Saccharomyces cerevisiae S288C: one gene and its partners. The gene in region 3 interacts genetically with the main gene of each other region. Each region holds a gene or a part of one and is shown on either strand. Other genes may lie near its edges.

Region 1 (7,271 bases), on a different chromosome or scaffold from region 3:
GGTCAAATAAAACAATTTCAAAGTTATGGTATCCATTATCTTTAGCGGGCTTAACAGATCGTATGGCCAGATTTCCTCCATGAGGATCACAATGAATACCTACATTGGGAGTAAAAATCATGTTATTGAAAATATGAGAGAGACAACTCGAAACTTCACTGCGCGAGATACCGTGACTGTCAATGTACTCCAAATCATCCAACCTTTTGCCTCCAACATATTCCATAATCAAAATTCTTTTGTGGCTTTCAATGACCTTGGGTATTTTCAATGCTGTTTGCTTCTTGAACTTACTAAAATAATGACGGGTTTTTTCTGCATTTTCAGCTTCTTTGGTAAAATTCAGTTCCACGTAGATTGAAGACTGAAGCTCATCACCAAGCCACGTTAACGGATAATCAGGGAAGAAGACATCCAGCAGTTCAAACACTGTTCTTGTCAGCATAACATCTAATGGTATAAACTCCTTCAACGATGGATGCTGACATTTGACAGCTACACTAGAACCTTTACCGTCACTATTTTTTAGTTTTGCCACATGAACCTGTGCCAAGGAAGCTACACCTATCGGGGTTTTGTTGAATTCTAAAAACATATCCTCAATGCTGGTGCCTAGATCTTCTTTAAATAACTCATCAATTTCTTCGTAGGTGGATTCGGGACAGTGGTCTTGCAACGGTATCATTGTATCCGTCCATTCTTTAGGCAACAGGTAGGTCATGGCCCCAATGTGCTGGCCTAATTTGATATATATCCCACCATTCGATCGTAGCGCATGCAACGTGATTAAGGCACACATCTTATGACATTTATTTAAGGCAACTTCTCGTTCTTTTTTGTTCTCATAGCTTTTATTTAGAGCCCTCTTGTAATGGTAGAAGCAACGAGTGGTAGCTTGTGTGACGACAGCGATTCTTTTAGTCGTCAGTGCCGTGTGCTTTACAGAATCATGAAAAGTGTCATTAAAGTTGTACAAAACTACTGCTGATGCAATAGTCCCACCCACCAGAAGAGATTTTCTTGTCCTGGGGCTTCTTTGAGGGATGCTTTTACCTGTCCTAACGTACCGACGGAATACCTCAAACGGTAGTTTGTTAAAAAAAGCTTTGGTCATCATCTACTATCAACACCGAATAAGAAACATTCAACTATAATCTTGCTCCGTTTCAGGCTCAATAAACTTTCAGACTGATTCTTTCCAGTTACGAAGGTAGGAGTACAATATGCATACATAACGCAGCGATTTACAAGATATGTTCCTCGGGTCTATGTTTTGACCTCTTTTAACGGCATATGAAAAAACCTTTGAAAAAATGAAATATTATATAAAGGTCCAGAACCCACAGTGGTACTAAAAGGCCCACTTAAGTCTCACACCTAATTAAACACCTTTGCATAAACGGTAGCTGAAGAACAACAGGCATGACCGCAATAGTGAAATGTTAGCTACTATTTCCTCTATAAAAGAAGTACGAATGTAATTAAATAAATTGTTCCTGACCAAGCACATCTGTAAAGGAAAAGCAGATTGCTAGCCAACTTTGGTGACTCAAATATTTATGAAGTTGGTCTGCTCTCTGCCGAAAGTCTATTAGGTATATGCTGTTCCAGTACCCCAAGGAACAAGGTCTGATAAATATGCTAGTTGAATTCCAAATATTTTCAAAATCAGGATTTCTTATCCAGTTATTCGACCACGGGTGGATAATGAACAGGTACCTTGTCTTTCTCCATAACCTTTGAGTTTTTATAAGATAAGTAAGTGTTCCAAAATATTGCAACGACATTAACAGCTAGTAACCTATGTTGTAAAGGAACAACAGAAAAGTTAATCGCTTGGAAAAGTGGCCAAACTGCCCAATTAGTCAAAAGTGTAGGCCACCATTGCTCTTTTATTTTCAACTTAGCTACGTCAAATGATCTACCTTCCATGATGGACATACAGGTGAAATAAAATGGCAAACCTAGCGGCGCAAACGCCAATTGATCGACAGCTACCCGTAAAACCATATTAGACCAGTGGTACTGAGGTCTGTTACGCATATAAATCTTGTTGTTCAAGATCTTGTACCACTTGTCACCTATAAAGGAGAAAATTAAAGAACCATAGATGACAGCCCTAGCTGTCCTTTTATAATCATAACCCTTGTTTACTTTGGATGTTGGAAACAACAATTGAGCAGAAACATCACCAATTCCAAATAGCGCACCTGTCATTATCGCATTCGTAGTTTTGGGCCTTCTCTTCAAGCTCGCTTCATATAAATGCAATAACTTCATACTGTTTTAATATCAATTCTATCTTTCCTATAGTAATAACAAAAGACTGTGTTTGCCTTTTCCCTTTTGTAAGGCTAAATATGACAACATAGCATTCAAATAGCTCTTCTATCATATCACTATCATAGATATTTCCATTTTTTTTTTTTTTTCACTTTGTACTTATACTGTTAAAGTTCGACATTTAAGGGACAAGGAGGTGCCACTGTTTCCCGAAACGCTTCTTGTTACCATCGGAGAGAAAAGACCAATACATACGTAATTAGAACATAGAAAATAGAACGTTTAAAGTAGATAGTTAATCACAAAGGAGAGGCATCACAACGATGCGATGGTAAAAATATATTTTAAGTGCTTTGATTACTTACTACATGCTAATTGACTACATACATAGTGTCTTGAATATTTTCTCAGTCTCAACTATTCATCTTGACCAAGTCCATTAAAAAATTCCATTTTTGAATTTCTCGGGAATATTTTTCAGCTCTATTCTAGACTCTAGTTCGTCATCAGTTATTACAGTAGCTCTAGAAGCGCCTCTTTGAATTTCTTCTTCATGTTCAATTTCATGTTCATGATGAAGCAATTCATGTTCTATGTCTTCTTTGTGAACGACTTTAACGTCTGGATCTTTGTCCTTATGAAACTTATTCCAGTGATGAATTTCATATTCTAGCTCAAAATCGGAGTGGTGACCTACACCAACGCCAAGGTCAGGGAACTTGTTTCCTCTCTTAGCAAATTGTAGATATTCCTCCTTGGTGATTTTGGTATTATCATCAACATCCAATAACCTCATAATAAGGCTAACAACACGCTTAGCCATTTCATTGTCAATTTTCTCAGATTCATCGTGTTGTCCCATACCATCACCAGCCCCCACAATTTCTTCACGGTTCAACCCGTAGAGAGATAGAATATCGTTTTCATCTAAAAATCCTTTCTTCTTGATATCATGTAACGCGAAGAAAGTCTCTGGAGTGTAATCTTTTAGCTGATGCTCATGGTCCATATGCCACTCCTCCCAGGATAAACCATCAGGTGGTGCCTCATTTTCCACATTAATTTCAGATCCTATTTCTGCCGTGGCAGTTACTTTATATAGAGTGAAAGCCAAAGAAAATACAAATCCCCTCAAAAACCTCATTTCCACAATTTTAATAGAACAGGGATGAAAAAATTTTAGGTCTTGGCTCTTTTATCTTTTCTAGAAGGAATATAATATTACGCTCAATCATGTTTTAAAGCTTCCTAGTCTATGATCCGTCACCTATTTTTATTCTTCCAAAAAAATATTTTCGTTACCCTCTTACCGAAAAGGGTATGAGGCAATGCTCAATTTGCCTGAGCTTAAGAATGTATGAAAAAAAAAGATGTCTGACTAATGGAACGCTTTTTCTTTTAAATAATGCCTTTCTTTATAATAAGGAAGTTGCGTCTATATTTTACCAAAATAAACAATATTACAAAAACATAGAAATTAAAATATACATAAATTATTGATCAATAAAAATCTTAAAGAAAACTGTGAAAGCAGTGATCAAAAAGATTAGAATTCTTCGTCAGAAGAAACGTAAGCATCACCCAATTCCTTCTTCTTCTTCATTCTTTCCTTCTTCTTCTTTCTCAATTCCGCAGAAGACAACTTCTTCTTCTTCTTACCACCGGCAATCTTGTTACCCATAGCATCGAATTTATCTTCTTCGTCTTCCTTCTTTTCGATTCTTGGACCAGCACCTTGACCACTAACCCAGTTGTGACCAGATGGAGTCATTCTACCGTCCTTGACGGCCCAGACTTCTTCAGTCAAGTTCTTTGTGAATTCAGCAGAGTGAGTAATGATAATAACACCACCTTCAAATTCCTTCAAAGCCTTAGACAAAGCACCCAAAGAATCTCTGTCCAGATAGTTGGTAGGTTCATCTAAGACAATCAAGTGAGGTCTTTGCCATGTACCGGCAGCTAAGACCAACTTAACCTTTTGACCACCAGACAAACCTCTAATTCTGGAGTGAGAAACAATTTCTGGGTCCAAACCCAACATGGAACAATGTTCTTCAATTTCTTTTCTGGTTAATGGACGGAATTGACCAGAAGCCAAAGCTTCCTTCATATCAACTTCAGCAACCATCTTAGAGTGAGATTCAACCAATTCACCTCTTGGAATCCAAGCGTTGTCGACGGACATCATTGGAACCCATCTTTCAGATTTCATACCAATGTTTTCACCCAATAAGAAAGAACATTCATATTCGTAAGTGTTCTTGAACTTTCTTCTGGAGTGGATACCGGCAATTCTTCTAGGGGTACCTTCAATCTTGAAGATCTTGTTCATAGCTTCAGCATCGTTTTCGTTGATTTGTCTGTTAGCTCTGTCCATGGTTTCTCTATCTTCACCGGTTTGGAATCTCCATTGGATATATTCAGATGGAGTCTTGTCCAAATGAGATTCGATATGAGCAAAAGCGTGTTGCTTAATGTAAGCGATACGACAATTTTCGTGGGTGTAGACTTCACCAGAGGTTGGTAATAGTTCACCAGTCAAGACGTTAATCAAAGTAGACTTACCAGCACCATTTGGACCAATGACAGCAATTCTGGAAGACAAAGAACATTGGAAGTTAATGTCAGTGATTTGTGGCTTAGAGGTACCTGGATATTGGAATTCCATGTTGGTAACCTTGACAATAGCCTTTTGCTTAGTCTTAACACCTTCCAAGTAACCTGGTTCTGGGAACTTGAATTCCAAATCAGTGTTGGATAATTCTTCGTAAGCCTTAGCAGCTGGACACTTCTTAACGAATTCGGTAAAGTTACCCTTGTACTTTCTCAACTTCAAACCTTCGTAGTTAATAATATATTCACAGACGTTATCTAAGAAAACGGAGTCGTGAGAAATAGTGATAGAAGTGATACCACAGGTGTTCAAGTAGTTAACTAACCAAGCAACGTTGACGGTATCCAAATGGTTAGTTGGTTCATCTAACAACAAGATATCAGCATTTCTCAACACAGCTCTAGCTAGAGCCAACTTCATCTTCCAACCACCAGACAAAGCAGAGATTGGCATAGCAATCATTTCATCGGTGAAACCGAATTCAATCAATTTGTCCTTGATAGCTTCTTTAGTACCAACACCAGATTCGAAAACGAAATCCAAGACGGAAGTGTCAGAGTGAGTACCATCAATGTCGTGTTCGACGTAGACGGTTCTACATTCTTCTTGGGTTGGGAAACCATCAACTTGACCGTTGGCAATAGCTCTCATTAAAGTGGACTTACCACAACCGTTTGGACCACAGATACCATATCTTCTGGCTCTCTTCAATCTTAATTGGGTCTTGTTCAACAAGATTTTAGCACCATAAGCCAAAGAGAATTCACAGTTACATAAGTCTTCACCTTCGTCTTCTTCGTCGTCGAAGTTTGGACCAACTGGAATGTTGTCGACAGCTCTCTTTCTGAATTCGTCCAAGATGTCCTTGGCCTTCTTTTCGTGCAAGAAGATAGTCATGTATGGGGTGATGTGGGTGAACCAAGCTTGTTGGTCAATGATTCTTTCATCGATCAAATCAGCACCAATGGCGGCAATGTACTCGACGACAATCTTAAATCTTGGAGCAACGGTTTCGTCCTTCAACAATTCGTTAACGACTTGCAAAGTAGTAGAAACGTCACCAGCGTGAGAAACTTCTGGAATAGCATCGTCTTCACCAACGTTACCAACTCTTCTCAAAGTCTTCAAAGCTCTCAAAGTAACTTCTCTGGCTTCTGGGTCAGCAATGGTAGCAAAGTTACTCTTCAAACCTGGCAACAATTTACCCAAGAAAGGAGCAATAACTTGTGGGTCTTCGACCAACTTACACATGTTGTCAATAATAACAGCAGACTTACGCTTGATACCGGTTTCTCTTTCGTTCAAACCTCTGGACAACAATGGGACCATGATGGACAAAGTAGCTGGAGTAACTTCAGCAACGAAAGTAGTAGCACCTAACAAATGAACGGTTTCTGGAACTTCAGTTGGGTCAGCAATACATTGAATCAAACTTGGAATGAAACGTTCAATATCCTTGTTGTCAACAGTTTCGGTAGCCTTGGTCATGGCGGCAGTAGCAGCAGCCTTGACTTCCTTCTTGGTGTCCCACATGGTTTCAGACAAGACTGGAATCAATTCTGGCATTCTTAGGGCAACTTGATCCTTAGCAGCATCGACCATAGCAGAGATAGCTGCCAAAATAGCAATCTTTTCTTGCCATTTGTTAGTTTCGACAATAGCGTTAGTCAAATGTGGCAACAAAGCTTTGATGGCAACTGGGTTAACAGCGTTAACGATGGAAATCAAAGTTTCGGAAGCAACAGATTGAATTTCTTTGTCCTTGTTACCTGCGTTGGTACAGATAGCTGGAACCAATTGGACGATGTATGGTTCAACAGATGGAGACAAGTTAGATTGGTTAGCAATGTGAGCAACAGCTTGCATGGCGTTAGCAGCGGTCTTCTTGTCCTTGATACCCTTGGCCAATTCACCGAAGAAGTGTTCTGGAACATCATGTTCAATGATGTTACCATTCAAGAAAGAAGCGACTTCAGAAGCGATTTCGTGTCTGTTGTCAGCAGTGGCAACAGATAACTTCTGGAATAGTTCTTCTAGAACCTTAATGGATTGCTGGGAATCAGACATCTTTTAATGTTATCGATGGATTCGAACTAGAAAAATACACGGTTCTTTAGAAAACAATTAAGGAAAGAAAGAGAGCGTAAGAAAAAGAGATATTCTACAAAATTTTGATGCAAAAGGTTTTTATAAAACTTCTTATCTTATATGAAAGATGAGATGAGATAATTATACTCGAGGAAGCGAAAAAATTTTCACCAACGCAAAAAAAGAAAAAGAAAAAAAAAAAAAAAACATTAAAAACGTTTCTTTTTCACGTGCTAAGTGATCTAATAATTTAGGGTTATGCATGGGTGGGGCCGGATAAACCGCG
Region 2 (7,343 bases), on a different chromosome or scaffold from region 3:
AAGGGAATCGATAGTTCTACATAATGTTATTATTTTATCTTCCTTCCTTTTATATGTTGTCATTCATTATCCTATTACATTATCAATCCTTGCATTTCAGCTTCCATTAGATCGGATGACTGTTTCTCAATCTTTATGTCATCTTCTCACACCGCATGTGATAATATAATATTAAATAGATGATATTAGAGTTCAATTCCAACAAAAGGGGAGTAGTTACATAAGCTTTCCGTAATGGTGAATTTATAGCAGTTTCCTTCTCGATGAAAGGAAGGGAAAGAATTAAATATACTCGAATGCTTGTACCACTCCATTTCCCCATTTATCACATTTAAAGTTACGAGTAAAAAAGTGACCGATATAGAATGTCTGATGAAAGAGCAAATGAAAGAAACATCAAGAAAGCATATTGAAATTAGCAAGTGAAAGCAAAAAAAGTAGATGAGTAAGCATTATAATGCGTCCAGTCTGACTTTTTTGTTGGAATAAAAATCAACTATCATCTACTAACTAGTATTTACGTTGCTAGTATATTATCATATACGGTGTTAGAAGCTGGCGCAAATGATGAGAAATAGTCATCTAAATTAGTGGAAGCTGAAACGCAAGGATTGATAATGTAATAGGATCAATGAATGTTAACATATAAAACGATGATAATAATATTTATAGAATTGTGTAGAATTACAGATTCCCTTTTATGGATTCCTAAATCCTTGAGGAGAACTTCTAGTATATCTACATACCTAATATTATAGCCTTAATCACAATGGAATCCCAACAATTACATCAGAATCCACTGAGTCTTCATTTTTTCCTATTTTTTGAATTAATTTTTGTTCGTATCCATTGGGCTGGCGAGCAAGTCCATCAAATAAAAAGGCGCGTAATTCGCTTCGTTTCGTGTCTTCGAAAATGAAGACCAGTTTTCCTCCTTAAAAGTACTTTAATTCGGAGAGCCGATTATATAAAGTGAAAGACTTAGTACTTCGTTAGCTCATATCGTTTTCTTATTTTGAAATAGGTTATCTATAGAATACTTTATCAAGTTATCAGGTTCTTTCCGGAAAAACATCTCATAAATCATCCCTGGAAAAATGTCTAGTCAAACAGAAAGAACTTTTATTGCGGTAAAACCAGATGGTGTCCAGAGGGGCTTAGTATCTCAAATTCTATCTCGTTTTGAAAAAAAAGGTTACAAACTAGTTGCTATTAAATTAGTTAAAGCGGATGATAAATTACTAGAGCAACATTACGCAGAGCATGTTGGTAAACCATTTTTCCCAAAGATGGTATCCTTTATGAAGTCTGGTCCCATTTTGGCCACGGTCTGGGAGGGAAAAGATGTGGTTAGACAAGGAAGAACTATTCTTGGTGCTACTAATCCTTTGGGCAGTGCACCAGGTACCATTAGAGGTGATTTCGGTATTGACCTAGGCAGAAACGTCTGTCACGGCAGTGATTCTGTTGATAGCGCTGAACGTGAAATCAATTTGTGGTTTAAGAAGGAAGAGTTAGTTGATTGGGAATCTAATCAAGCTAAGTGGATTTATGAATGAATAACTTATGGCATGGGAGGGTACATATGAGCGCCTTTTTTTTCTCGCTTTGGGCAGCTCATATCATGTTCCCTCACTAGCTAATAATATAATGAATTTTTTAGAAGGAGCACGATTATATAAAAAAAATACCACTTATGTTGCTACCCTTATATACGAATTTATAATACTTAATGACGCTTCAATGACGCCTGATGTCAAATGCTTTTGGCTCCCAGTGAAATTGCCACACTTCCTTCTTCTTTCCGAACTTTATAGTATCATCGAAAAATACAAGTTGGCAAAGGTCTATTACAATCGCGGAACGTACGATGTTCATACGGTTTCAGCGAATAGTCTTGTAATATCCGGAAGCATGCCTACCGGCATTATTATAGGTAGTTCATCGCCCTTGGACTATGTAGGGGTACAAGTAAATAGGCAACTTGAAATGGATCTCCCTATTGAATGAAACATTTAAGGGTGCCCAACCCTTAAGTTGATAGAGCTACTACCGTTCTTTTAGGTTTAACAGTTTCTCCAATAAATTTGGCAATATGCAGGGATCCCAAATTGAAATTTCTGGCGGAATGTATATATTAGACTTGCAGCTGAGTTTTATCGCGTACACTATTCTAGGGACTTTGGACCTAACTCTGACAACAAAAACTCAAGTAAAAAAAAGCTTACATTTTTAAATGATGAGATCTAATATTTTGAAATTATTACAACGGACAAGTAGGAGATATGTATCCTCAAAGGATTTTGAGCCTGTGATAGGGTCTAATCCTAAGAAACAAACATCTAGACTAATGGTCGGTTCTGTGGGTGTTATGATTCCAGTTCTACTTTATTTGTTTTATAAGAACGATAGCAAACATAGTGAAATTAAAAAGATATACCAAAATGAGAAAAAAATTTAAAAAGTTGTTATATAAGGGTTTTCGTATATAACACAGAATGGTAAACCGAGTCACGAAGCTCAATCTTTTTTTTTTATGTCTTTCTCTAACGTTTTTTCGTCTATATTCAAAAAAAATAAAGTTGGTAACATATAATGCATATATTCATTTGATCTAATCGCTTGCTTTTTATTTCAGTAGCATTTTCGTATTGCGTCGCGACCAGAGAAGTATGAGCACCAGAGGTAACACGTATATACATTTATACATAAATATATCTATTTAGTTTCCTTTCTTGGAAGCTTCAGCAGCTGCTACATTTCCAGGTTGATTCTTCTCATCAAAATATTTCTCCAGGTTTTTGACTTGCTTTTGTAGGCCCTCCAGAGAAATTTGCTTTTTCCTTAGTTCCTCTTGAAGTTTGGTGGAATCAGCTTCATTTGAGTCTTTCTTGCTGTTTGAGGAAGGTTTGTTCAATTTTTGCTTTTCTTGTTCGTTGATTAAGCCTTGGTATTTCACCAGTCTCTTGACAATAGACATGACAGTTGGGATACAGATAGAAAAGTACAATATGAACCCGGAAATATACATATTTCTTTGATTGTACGCTCTTGATGCTAGTGCCTGTATTGGAGTTACAGCAGATGACCCGATTGAGCCACTGTTGTCGTTGTGGTATAATGAAACACGAATTTGAGACCTTTTCCATGAATCAATAAACAACAGGCCAACAAGACAACCCGTTATAAAGATTATAGTTTTTATTTGCTGCTTCGCTGTCAATTGGTTATAGGTGCTAAAAATACCCCTACGGATCCGGAATGGCAAAGGCAAAACGAAGATGAAGAGCATTACCATCTCAACAGTGAGCAATAAAAATAATGTCGTAAAGTATAAACTCATCGCAATATTATTTATTCTTCTCGGTTTTCAGTACTTGCCACTTTGCGAAAGGATAGCAGAAAGGAGCGTTGCAATGAACGAATAGCTTTAAACCAGAAACTATACAAGGTCCCACTTGGCATATATTTCTATTTTTGCACTGCGCCAGAGGGTTTAGTAGCGCCCCCTTTATGTTAACGTATCCTGTGATATAGCATGCAGCTGCGGGTTACATGTAAATTGTTCAGGGCATAAGCAGTACGTATCGAGGAGGTAAAAGACGTTGCAAGTAGGTAGATAGTACAATATAGATAAGCCCAACAGTTTGCGTACGCCTTAAAAGTAGTGGTGTTCTGCGTTTATGTTCTCTCCCTTCTTTTCTATCTAGGTTTTTATGGCGCACTTAAAATATTCTGCTGCTTCAACGGGCGGCGATCTACGGAGAAATTTTTGGCATAAAGTCAAACTTAGAAAGAGCACATAAGCCATAACTTCTTTTTGATATGTGAAACCTAGCCCAGGTTGTCGTTAGTAGTACCTGGCCCTTTAAATATATTTTTGTACTATCGTATACTTGTATAACTATTCATCATTTTCTGGTTTGGTAGTCCGCATTTTTTCATTTGATGACTAAGTTGTACGTATTGCTACACTGAGTTTATCCCCTTACTTCGACAGTAAATTGAGAGAATAAAAGTGAGAAGTGTAGAGAAGAAAAAGATTAAAAATGAGCACTGATAACTCACAAAAGGATGAAGGTGTTCCTTTGCTTTCCCCTTACTCTAGTAGCCCTCAACTAAGGAAAAAGAAGCGCAATCAAAAAAGAAGAAAGGACAAGTTTGTTGGTCACTTGAAGTCAGACTCACGTAGGCCAACGCAACTGCTGCATGATAATCTGCAACACAATCACGGCCAGATTACTGATTTCGACCAGATCGATTCCTGGGGCATGCTGCATGAATCTGATTCTACAAGTAATGATATAATAAAAAGTGAGGATCCATCGCTCAAGGGCGCGTTCATTGATCATAGACCTTCAATGAGCCAACCTAGGGAGGGGCCTCAAAGTGTATCAAGCACAGTTCAACCACAGCCAATAATGAAGTTTTCAACACCAAGTTACAAGAAACCCGCAGGGTTAAGACCCTCTGATCAGAATAGATCATTAGTATCGGACTTATCCCCTTCAGAGCTTGAATCATGGCTGAAGAGAAGGAAATCTGTTCATAAGAGTTTTGTTGACGAAAACTCCCCCACCGATAGGAGACAATCGAACGCGAATAATGATGTCGTGATTGATGTTGATGCGTTAATGAACCATGTTAACAACAATGCAAGTACTGGGGTTAATGATAACAGCAAGAGAAGAAAGAAAAAGAGGGGTTCTGATGATAGTAGCAACAAAAATTCCAAATCCACATCCAGTGATTCAAACGATGAAGAGGATGAGTATAACTCAAGGCCATCTTCTAGTCTTTCTTCAAATAACTCTTCTTTGGATGACGTTTGTTTAGTGCTTGATGATGAGGGTAGCGAAGTGCCAAAAGCTTGGCCTGATTGTACTGTTTTGGAAGAATTTTCCAAGGAAGAAACAGAGAGACTAAGAAGTCAAGCTATTCAAGATGCTGAAGCTTTCCACTTCCAATACGATGAAGATGAGGAAGATGGAACATCAAATGAAGATGGAATTCTTTTTTCAAAGCCAATCGTAACTAATATTGATGTCCCTGAATTGGGAAACAGAAGGGTAAACGAAACAGAGAATTTGAAGAACGGCCGTTTAAGGCCAAAAAGAATTGCGCCATGGCATTTGATTCAACGTCCAATGGTCCTTGGGTCCAATTCAACCAAGGACTCAAAATCAAGAATTCAAAGCGGATTACAAGATAACTTACTAGTCGGCAGAAATATTCAATATCCTCCGCATATTATTTCTAATAACCCAGAACATTTCAGGTTCACTTATTTTAGGGTGGATTTGGACTCTACTGTTCATTCTCCGACAATATCTGGTTTACTGCAACCTGGTCAAAAATTTCAAGATTTATTTGTCGCTTCTATATACTCCCAAGATAATAGCGCTGGTCATATCAAGACACATCCAAATTCTCCAACACCTGGTATAAAAGCAGAAACTGTATCTCAACTCCAGGGATTGACAGCTAAAAACCCTTCCACTTTATCGTCTATGTCTGTGGCAAATATAGAGGATGTTCCTCCATTCTGGTTGGATGTCAGCAATCCTACTGAAGAGGAGATGAAAATATTAAGTAAAGCTTTCGGAATTCACCCTTTAACTACAGAAGATATTTTTTTGGGAGAAGTTCGTGAGAAAGTGGAACTATTTAGAGATTATTACCTGATTTGTTTTAGAAGTTTCGATATTGTAGCAGAAAAGCATGTTCGTCGGAGGAGAAAAGAAAAGCAAGAATCTGCTACCTTGGATCATGAAAGTATTTCACGTCGTAAATCACAAGCCTATGGTGCTACTATGTCAAATGAATCAAATGCAAATAACAATAACAGTACAAGCAATGCAAGTAGGAGCAAATGGCTTCCATCGATTTTACGTGCACGCCGTCGGTCATCTGCAAATAGAACAACCAATACATCATCATCAAGCTATAAACGCCGTGTCAAAAGCGAAAAGAAAAAGATGGAAGAGAACGAAAAATTCAAAAGAAAATCAGGAGACAGGCACAAACCACGTGAGGGAGAATTAGAGCCATTGAATGTTTACATTATTGTTTTCAGAACTGGTGTATTGACGTTTCATTTTGCTCCCACACCACATCCTATTAATGTTCGAAGAAGAGCAAGACTACTAAAGGATTACCTTAATGTTACCTCTGATTGGATTGCGTATGCCTTAATCGATGACATTACAGACGCATTTGCCCCTATGATAGAACTTATCGAAGATGAAGTTTATGAGATTGAGGACGCCATTTTGAAGATGCATCAGTCAGATGATTCTAGTGATAGCGATTCTAGCGATAGTGATTCCGATTCGGGCGCTAGCGATGAGGATGCATTTCCGTTCGATGTCTATTCTAAAAAGACGTCCTACTCTAGTGCAAAATCTAGTGTGAGTTCAAGAAGTATGAGCACTTCTGAAGCGTCATTCAATGCAAATTTGATAGGTTGGAAGAGAAAAGGAGATATGTTGAGGCGGATTGGTGAATGCCGTAAAAGAGTGATGAGTATACTAAGATTGCTAGGATCCAAGGCTGATGTGATAAAAGGATTTGCCAAAAGGTATAATGAGCAATGGGAAGCTTCGCCACAATCTGAAATCGCAATGTATTTGGGTGATATTCAAGATCATATTGTAACCATGGTCTCATCGCTAAACCATTATGAAAAACTGTTAAGTAGATCGCATTCAAATTATCTGGCACAAATCAACATTGATATGACGAAGGTTAATAATGACATGAACGACGTTTTGGGAAAAATTACCATACTGGGTACTATTGTTCTGCCAATGAATGTGATTACGGGTCTGTGGGGTATGAATGTTATCGTGCCCGGACAATACAGGGATTCGTTGACATGGTTTATAGGCATTGTGCTTTTTATGTGTATGCTAGCATGTTCTGCATATATGTATACTAAGAGAAGATTCGGGTTTTAATTTAAGTGTTTTTTCGCGCATTAGCGCTTGCTTTTCCTTCGATTTTAATTATCAGCCTAAATTATTGTTGTCTTTCCCGAAGGATAGAATTGTAAATTATCAGCGCCGTATCGTATACTTGTGGTGATAAATATCTTTAATCTATTTATGTTTTTTTTTTTTTTTTTTTTCGTGTCTGGTTTCTACATGTTTGTGAACGTTCTGCATATCTTTATGTACGTACACAGTATGTTAGTATGCACTTATACTATACAAAGAATAAGGGAGGTGAGGTTAATCAATAAGGTTAACGTAAAACATTTATTATTTTCATCACCAAACTGTTGGAAGTTTTGAATTGGTTAATTATCAAGGATTTCATTGTTAGCCAAATTTTCCTTGGCG
Region 3 (9,207 bases):
TGTAGACATCAAGAATGCGAACAAATATATCCGTTGGAAAATTGGGCCCTCTCAAGTAACTCGAATCATTGATAAGGGAGTAGTACTGCTTTTTGGTGAAGTGATATTCGTCATCACGCTTGGTTTTGAACATATAATTCCATAACATGGACGACAGGCTATTCTCATAGGACACTAAAGTTAAAGAGGCACCAAGAACGTTACCAATGGATCTCCACAAATAGAAAACACCAGTCATGGTTCCTTGCTGTGATTTTTCGACGGTGAATACGATGCTTACTAACGTGGCCACTAATAGACAAGCGTAACCAAAGGACACAAGGACTGATGCAAACACATATATCAATTTCCACCATATTGAGTTAGATCTGAATGTAATAGACTCAAGCATATCATATATGGTGTAGTCAGGATTCAAGTGTGAAAGTAGGAAATAGCCCAATCCCAAACCCAATAGCTGCATTATCATACCACCAAAAATGATTTGATATGCACAGTGTGCTAGGTTAATTTTCGTATTCCGCAATACCCATCCTGTTACCAATGATCCGACTGCAACTGATATAGAGGGGAAAATCAAAAAGAGGCCAGTCTTTGTTACACTAATATTTTGAAGCAATTGTAAATAGATTGGTGACCTAAAGATTTCACCAAATACAACAAATGAAGATATAACCGTTACCGCTGAGCTCAAACAGAATGAGCGAGTCAATAGTTCGAATGGTAAAATTTTCTCAGTCGCGTAATAACGTTCAACCAGGATAAAAACAATAAAGCTACCAATGGTAAACAATGCTAAATACAACTTGTTCAACTGGCTAGAGCACAAAAATAAAACTCCACTAATGGTCGCCACCAGGCTTAATGAGCCAAATATATCTATCCGTGACAGATTCTTTAAGGTATATCTTTCTTTCATAGGAGGAACATGGAATAGCTTAATATTAATGTTTTTGATTGCTAATACCGAGCACAACATTATCACGGGTACTTGGATACCAAAAAGAGCCCTCCATCCAATGGTTTCTATAAATACACCACCCAACGGAGCACCTAGTAATTGACCAAACCCGAAAACAATATTCGCATATCCCTGGTAAACGCCCCTTTCTCTTGCTGTACATATGTCACTAACAGCAATGCTACTAATAGCATTCAATCCTCCTGCACCAATACCACATATGGCTCTTGCTATTGAGAATTCCGTGACGTTTCTGGCAAAACATGTTAATAAGCACCCAAGGCCAAAAAAAAATTGAGCGGTTAATAATGCTGACTTCCGCCCTGTTATATCAGAAAGCTTCCCATATAGTGGTTGGAAAGCCGTATTTGTCAAAAGAAAACTCGTCGCAATCCATTGCTTTTTACTTGATTCAGAGAATTCCTCAGCAACTCTATTCATTATATTTGCGACAATAGTGCTATCCAAGGAACTCAAAAAACTACCCAACCATAGCGAAAACAAAATGGGAAACTTAGGTAAGGCCAAATTATATTCATGAAATTTTTGTTCCAAGGGAGGGGCTTCAGCTTCCTCAGGTGGAGGGAGTAGATTTGAAGTCTCGTCTAGTGTTTGCATTCTTCTTGTTCCCTCAACAACTAGGGCTCTGAGCTTAGTGAAGAACAAAGAGGAGACAAAAAACAAAATAATTCGATAGAAAAAAATCGCTGCTGTATTCTTATATTTTGGGAATGTGGGTTGGCCTAAAGTGGAACCGCATGCTCTTCTCTATCACCGGCCCTTAAGATGACCTACGTTTATTGTCGGACAGATATCATCCAACAAAACGACGCAGTGAAAAAGTGTATCATGCGAATACTGAAGATAAGATAGGCTAAGCCGTGGAATCAGCGATAAAAAAAAGATCGCGTGTATTAACCAATGACAGCCTCACAGAAGCGCTTTGATCATATATAGATATAGGTGCATTTATACACGTATATATATTTACATGTTTTCAGATTAGATTATATGGTAAATACGTGACAGTGTTCTACCGAAAAAGAAAGATGTCTGGCTTTCAATAAAATAAGCAAGATATGTAGAACAGTCTTCCTCCATTTCTTTGTATTGTGAAATATCAATCAGTTTGTAGATGGCTTAGGCTCATTACGTTTTTCGTTTTTTTCTTCTTCCTTCCTGATTTTTTCCGTTTCGTAATCGTTCAAGTACTTATCAAAAGCATCATTCCTTTCTGGGAAAGGGCGCTTACCAAGTAAATCAATCATATCTTCTCTTGTCAAAACTTCTTTTTTCAGTAGTACTTGAGCAATCTTCTCTACATCTTCTGCTTTTTCTTTAAGCAGCTTTGTACATCTGTCATGGCATTCTTGGACGATTCTGTATACTTCGGAATCAATAATGTCACCTGTCTCGTCCGAAAATGGTTTTGTCAAATCGCTATCATCTCTCTTCTGGTAATTGACCCAGCCAATTTTATCACTCATGCCTAATTCTGTGACCATTGCCGTGGCCATGCTAGTAACTTTTTTGAAGTCATCAGATGCGCCACTTGTAACTGATGGGAAATGTAATTCTTCAGAAACTCTTCCACCCAGAGACATGGTCATTCTGTCCTTAAGTTGCTGTTCAGTTAGTAAGAAGATATCACCTGGCAAATACTGTGCATAACCAAGGGCGCCCTGGCCACGTGGAATAATACTGACTTTCAGAAGAGGATCTGCGTATTTTAAGTACCATCCACATACAGCATGACCAGCCTCGTGGTAAGCCACTACTTTCTTCTCTTCGGGAGAGAGTAGCTTGGATTTGCGTTCCACTCCACCGATGACTCTTTCGATAGCTTGTTCAAAATGATTCAATTTTACTGCATCTTCATCACTTCTAGCAGCAATCAAGGCGGCCTCGTTACAAACGTTGGCAATATCAGCACCAGAAAAGCCTGGCGTCAAAGCCGCTAATCTATTTTTCAAATCAAAAATTTCCCCGGCAAGTTTCAAATGATGTAAATGAACAGCAAAAATGGCTTTTCTACCCTCAAGTTCGGGCTTGTCGATATTGATATGCCTGTCAAATCTACCAGGCCTTAATAATGCTTTATCGAGAATATCGGGTCTATTGGTACCAGCTAAAACAACAACGTGGTCAGCTGGAGTGAAACCATCCATTTCTACTAACATTTGATTTAGCGTGTTCTCTCTCTCATCATTGGCACCTGAAAAATTACCCTTTTGTCTTGCTTTTCCTATAGCATCAATTTCGTCAATAAACACAATTGAGGGTGCATTTTCTCTTGCAGTTTTGAACAAATCTCTTACTCTTGCTGCACCAACACCAACAAACATTTCTACAAATTCTGAACCAGAAACAAAATAAAACGGAACACCGGCTTCACCTGCTGTTGCCTTTGCAAGCAAAGTTTTACCGGTACCTGGTGGACCAGATAGAATCGCACCTCTAGGAATTTTAGCTCCCATTTTTTCATAACGAGAAGGTTCTTTCAAGAAGCTAACAAACTCCATAATTTCTTCCTTAGCCTCATCGCATCCGGCAACGTCCTTGAACTTGATCTTAACGTCTGTTTCAGTGTTAAATTTTTTAGCCTTAGAACGACTCAGACCAAATATGCCTCCACGGCTACCGCCCGCTGCTTGTGCCGATCTTCTTGTCAACCAAATAATACCTGCAATCATTAAAACAGTTGGCAAAATTTGGAACATAGCTTTAGCCCAATTGCCTTCTTGAACATATAGTACAGGTATTCTGAAATCCTTATCAATGTCCAGTTCGTCCTGTGCTTTCTGAAGTTTGTGTTCGAAGCTATCAATTGAACCAATTGTGAAATAATAGAAGTTGCGACCGTAATTGTCGGCTTGGTTTTTTCCGTTGTCATTTAACATCACTTTCACCATGGACTTGTTGACAACAATCAACTTCGCAACATAACCTTTTGCCAATAGTTTCTCTCTAAAATCCTGCCACGTTATCTCACTTTGCTCTTCCAAACTGTTGAGGAGATCCAATAAAAACGAAAGGAGGAAAAAAGTTAGTCCTATCTGGAATAAGTTAACATTTTTCGATACAGGATTACTAGGATCATTTAGAGGTGGTTTTGGGGGAGGAGGTGGTGGTGGCGGTGGAATATTTCTGCTATTGTTACCTTCAAAGTAGCCCTGCTCTTTTGTTCTGTTTGACTTGGCTTTTGAAGGACCATTTTCCTCCTCTTTTTCCTTTCTTTCTTCTTGAATTCTGTTAGATTCTTGTTTCAATACAGCATCTTCTAAACGCCTAATACTTTCATCAATTTTGCGTTTCTGTTCTTTCCAGTTAGCCGGTATAGTATTATTTTTAGTTTGTTCGATATATTTTTCTACTTGTTTTCTTATTGCTTCAACCTCTTCGTCTGTGGGAATTTCTTTGTTAAGTTTAGCGTCTTCGTTATTGTCCTCGTTCTTGTTACCGCTCTTATTCTCTTGCAGCCTATTGAGTAGCCGATATTGAGTATGTAAACTCTTGATATGGGTCAAGCCGTAATAGGACCGGAAGCGAACGGGCCTTCTAACTACCTTAGTAGCAATTCTTGACCAAGAAAGTAGCAACATTAGTACTCTTTCTAACTTTAAAGTTGCTTGCCAAGACTCTTGAGTGTGCTATATTGTATTCGTTGGCAGCTCAAAATCTTTCCTTTAAAACTATAGTGGCAAAAGTTAGAGATCGTTTTCACGAGAAAATGATGGGGAAAAATGGACCAAAAGACAAATGTATTCACAATGTGACACCAGATAGCTTGGTGATTAGTATATAGATCTTACAGGACACCGAATAATACCAGAAGGGACTTTCTTATTGAACGAACCGATATGTGCATGCGTTATCCTATAAAGAAATACGTCCGGATGGGATATTCAAACAAGACGCCGGACAAAATAATTCACACATATGGAGGATGTTACGTACATGAGCACAAGACGAACCGTACAAAGAGAAACATACATCATCACTCAGACGATAAGATCATAAATTAGCAGATGACACTTTAGTTTATTCTCTTTGGTAGGTTTTCTACAATCAGAATTATCTAACGGCGAACTTCTGTAGGCAGAGTTTTCGCATCGCCCAATGAGATAATGCACTTTCAAAAGACCACGCTGCACTTGCATCAAATTGGTTTACGAAAGAGCAAAGTCGAGGATTAGCACATTCCGTGTGCCCATACGTTACCATTTTTGACAAAGTTGGCAACATCAAGCGAGACATATCTACAAATATACGTATCAGAATTGTACCCGAAGTATTTCTGGTTATATTCGTTGCTAACCATTTTAACGTATTCAGCCTAGTAGCCTGCAAGAACTATTAATACAAATCGTGAAACAGAAGTTCTTTGAGTTAAAGTACAAAGACAGACAACAGCCCTCGGTGAACCTGTTGGTGTGTGTTTCCTGTATCACAAAACACAAGCGAGCAAAGAAATACGACGTTATAGCTTTTAATAATACGACGAGACAATGTTAGTGGCCGTAATAACTTTCCAACAAAAGTACTTTCCAAACTTTGCTGTTACCTCTGTGATTGTTTAGTACGAAAATTGTATCGCGCTGTCAACAGCAAGGGGCTGCAAGTATTACGTAAGGGTACACTCGAAGTAGGGATATATATTTAAAGTCCCATCGTGACGCTCATAATAGGATACTTTCCCTCCAAATAAAAATTCATTGAAGTTATATCATCGGTATTCATATATTATTGACTTAACAGCCATGTCTCCTATGAAAGTTGCGGTTGTCGGTGCCAGTGGTAAAGTTGGACGTTTATTGATAAACCAATTGAAGGCCAACGATAGTTTCTCAACACCATTAGCGATTGTTAGAACACAGGATCAAGTCAATTATTTCAAGAATGAAGTAGGTGTTGATGCTAGTTTGACAGATATAGAAAACGCGTCCGTTAGTGAGATCACAGACGCTATTAAGGCTTATGATGCCGTGGTCTTTAGCGCCGGTGCGGGTGGTAAAGGAATGGAAAGAATTTTCACGGTTGATCTGGATGGCTGTATCAAAGTTGTTGAAGCATGCGAAAAGGCTGGTATCAAAAGGTTCGTTGTTGTTTCAGCGCTCAAGGCGGAGGATAGAGATTTTTGGTATAACATTAAGGGTTTGCGTGAATACTATATTGCAAAGAGATCTGCTGATCGTGAGGTTAGAAACTCTAATTTGGATTACACTATTTTACAGCCTGGATCGTTGGAACTAAATAAAGGTACCGGTCTTTTGCAACCCCTTGACAAATTAGAAGAGAAGGCTTCTGTTAACTACTCCATTAACAGGGAGGATGTAGCTTCTTTTATTGTGGAAAGCTTGCTACATCCAAATGCAACAGTGAAAAAAACCATTTCGTTGGTAAATGGCAACGAGCCAATGGAAAAATTCATTCAAAGTTTGTAGATCAACCTATTTACGCGTGAAATGCATATGTAGATGAATAGTCAAGAAAAGAAAAAGAAAGTGAGAATATATGAATTTTTTTACCTTGATTTGAAGATAAAAATTTGTTATATTGTTACATTGAGTATACTAAATATATTCGTTGCATTTTTCGAAATTTTGTTGTTCGGTGATAGCCCTTAAAACGTCTTCATCAACAACGTCTTCATAGATCTCTTTCGGGATTTCCGACAGTCCCGTTTTCGGTTTATTCAAATCGTTATCGTGTATAACGGTCTCATACACAATGCTTGTGTCGCTGGGACTATCGTTTTTTGATCTCCTCCATCCTAAAACAGTGGTTGACTGTGTGGATTCTGGTATGTGTAATATATTTGTGTATGCATCTCTCAAGCCTTGTTGATCTACAAGAAGAACCTTCACTCTATCATAAAACAAATCGCTATTAAATCTACTACACGCAGCAGAATGCTGATAGAGCCAATTTGTAGAGCTCAGCTTACTACCTGATGCAATAATATTAGAATTACTCATGTGACCATGTGGCCTGTGTTCAAAGAATTCCACCTGGTTTTTTGCAGGGTTTATGCCATTCTCGGAAGCAGGATACATCATGGTTTCTAAGGCCCTTGCGGATTTATCAATAGGATCACCAGCAAGTTTTCCTTCAATTACATTTCCCTTTGTTCTTAATTCAGAAGCATAATAATCATCGGTTATATGTTTGCCGCCACGAATGATTTTAGCACCAAATTCTTTAAACACGCCTCTAGCGGTGACTAGAGCGATTTGTCTATTTCTATATGAATAAGGTAAAACGCCACGGTCTATCAAGTCGTTCTTTTGAGTTTGATTCAGAATGAACTTATAAAGGTTGGGGTGAGTTTGAAAAAATAAATATGAATCTCTAAAACCCACTATCCTAGCCGGTTCGGTGGCCAGCATAAACTTTCGATTCCCCTTCTCAGTTAATGTGAAGGTGCGCACTAAAAATTCTCTGCCTCCTAATAGATCACCATCTGCAGTTATCTTCGTCTCACCTTCAGGATCATCTGGTAGAACATATTCTTCATTGACCACTTTCAAAGGATTTAAGTTCTCCTCAGCATCATCGATTCCGGGAAATACTGGTTTTTTGAACTTTGAACGGTTTCTAGATCTAGTAACGCCTTTATCCTCTGACAAATCCTCTTCTTCGTCCACGTGCCTCCTTTTGTTTCTTCCGCTTTTATTTATCTGTTCCTCCTCATCACTTATTTCTTCTTCATTCACTCCCTCATTGGCTTCTTCTTCTCTGTAATCATCATCTTCATTCTCATCATTTTCATCAATATCTAAATCCTCAGTATCAATTGCATAATTGGGTCTGTTGCTAGTAGATCTTGACCGCTTCTCATGTTCAACTTCGGAAGCTAGACCTCCCTCTGAATCTGACATTTCTGCTAGATGGTATTTCCTTCTTCAAAAGTAAATGTACTGTATTCAGTAATGCTTAAACTTTATAAAGCTGTTTTCTTGCAATATTTTTGTCTGCTCACAGTAACATGTTTAATAGTTCGAACGGGTTTTTTTTTAAAAGAGCGAAGTAATCAAAGCATTCGGGTAATAATTACAAGTTTATATGGACTGTGGTAAAAACAGTGTAAAACTTTTTTATATCTATTTTTCTAAGGTTACGTAATTGTTTACTTTATATTCTTATCTCACTCGAGGACAACATTCCACCTTTTAATGCAAGCGTCCGCACCAGAACTAACCAAGGTAGATGGTGTTTCCCATAAAAGGTTGTTAACACCGTCCTTGTGAGCATTCAACGCCTTAATGATTTTCATAGGTCTTTTGACGGAGTAAATAAAAATATTGGTGTCTAAAGAACCAGTGGCAACTAAGTCCTCTTCAATTTCCTCTTCGTTTGCTCCCTTTTCAGCAGGTTTCCATGAAATGGCGTTGATTTTACTGGTGTGGAAAGCCCATCTTGAAGTTTTCACTTCTCTTGATTGTAAATCATATAGCAATATCTTGCCCATAACATCTCCAGCAGCGATGTATGTTTCAGATGGCGAAATTGATATGTACGAGGGTTTTGCGCGAAGAGGTGTTTTTAAATCAAAACTGACTTCCAAATCTGATAATTTGAATACCTGAATAGTATTACCTTCTTCCAAACCAACTGCAACGTAATTTTGGCTCAAGCTAACGGCAGAGCCTGGTGAGTTCAGTCTTACACTCTTGATTATATCGCCCGTAAAAGACTGTAATATCAACAAATCATCATCATTTGTTAGTACTGCAGTGAAGCCATCATTGTTCGCACTAGCAACCTTTGGTTGCGATCCAAATTCATGCTTAGTAATACCGTTCACTTTCAAAGTATCATCCCAAGAAATACTGGAGTATTCTTGCGCTTTACTATTATCCAATGATACAATCAAGTTGGAGTGATCTTGGTGCATGGAAGAGCTAGACCATTCCATAATCCTACCATCATATGACCCACTGATTAGTGGGTTGACTGTCAAAGCAGTAATACCCTTGTTATGACCACTAATGGTTTTTAAAACCTCGTCATGTCCAAGTTCATAGAAGTTTAAGGTCCCATCCAGTGAAAGAGAAATAATCCTTCCGTTTCCTGTTGCAACAACACCAACTTGTTGATTTCCCAGTTGTTGCTTGTCTAAGGTCCATTTTTGAACGCATTTTGAAGTCGTGACGTCCCAAACCCTAATGGTAGCGTCTGCTCCTACGGTAGCAAACTTTTGGGAATCAAGCCACGATAGTGCAAATATACCACCTTGAACTGGT

What was found. A genetic interaction does not mean that the proteins touch.
Region 1: mutations in YTA12 (region 3) and SSP120 impair growth when combined (synthetic growth defect), as found in Saccharomyces cerevisiae (one large-scale study listed by BioGRID).
Region 2: mutations in YTA12 (region 3) and YET1 together harm fitness more than expected from each alone (negative genetic interaction), as found in Saccharomyces cerevisiae (one large-scale study listed by BioGRID).

Annotation. Positions count from the first base shown.
Region 1 is NC_001144.5:636,473-643,743, reverse strand, and holds SSP120 (nucleobindin SSP120), read right to left. Parts: upstream 3,428-7,271; coding exon 2,723-3,427; downstream 1-2,722. Other genes in the region: CQD2 (Cqd2p), read right to left, coding at 1-1,117; SYM1 (ethanol metabolism protein), read right to left, coding at 1,687-2,280; YEF3 (translation elongation factor EF-3), read right to left, coding at 3,830-6,964.
Region 2 is NC_001143.9:313,715-321,057, forward strand, and holds YET1 (Yet1p), read right to left. Parts: upstream 3,344-7,343; coding exon 2,723-3,343; downstream 1-2,722. Other genes in the region: YNK1 (nucleoside diphosphate kinase), read left to right, coding at 1,098-1,559; DPC7 (Dpc7p), read left to right, coding at 2,240-2,461; putative Mg(2+) transporter MNR2, read left to right, coding at 4,050-6,959; YKL063C (uncharacterized protein), read right to left, coding at 7,301-7,343. UniProt on the Saccharomyces cerevisiae protein: May play a role in anterograde transport of membrane proteins from the endoplasmic reticulum to the Golgi.
Region 3 is NC_001145.3:443,524-452,730, forward strand, and holds YTA12 (m-AAA protease subunit YTA12), read right to left. Parts: upstream 4,564-9,207; coding exon 2,086-4,563; downstream 1-2,085. Other genes in the region: VBA1 (Vba1p), read right to left, coding at 1-1,579; YMR090W (uncharacterized protein), read left to right, coding at 5,722-6,405; NPL6 (Npl6p), read right to left, coding at 6,535-7,842; AIP1 (Aip1p), read right to left, coding at 8,109-9,207.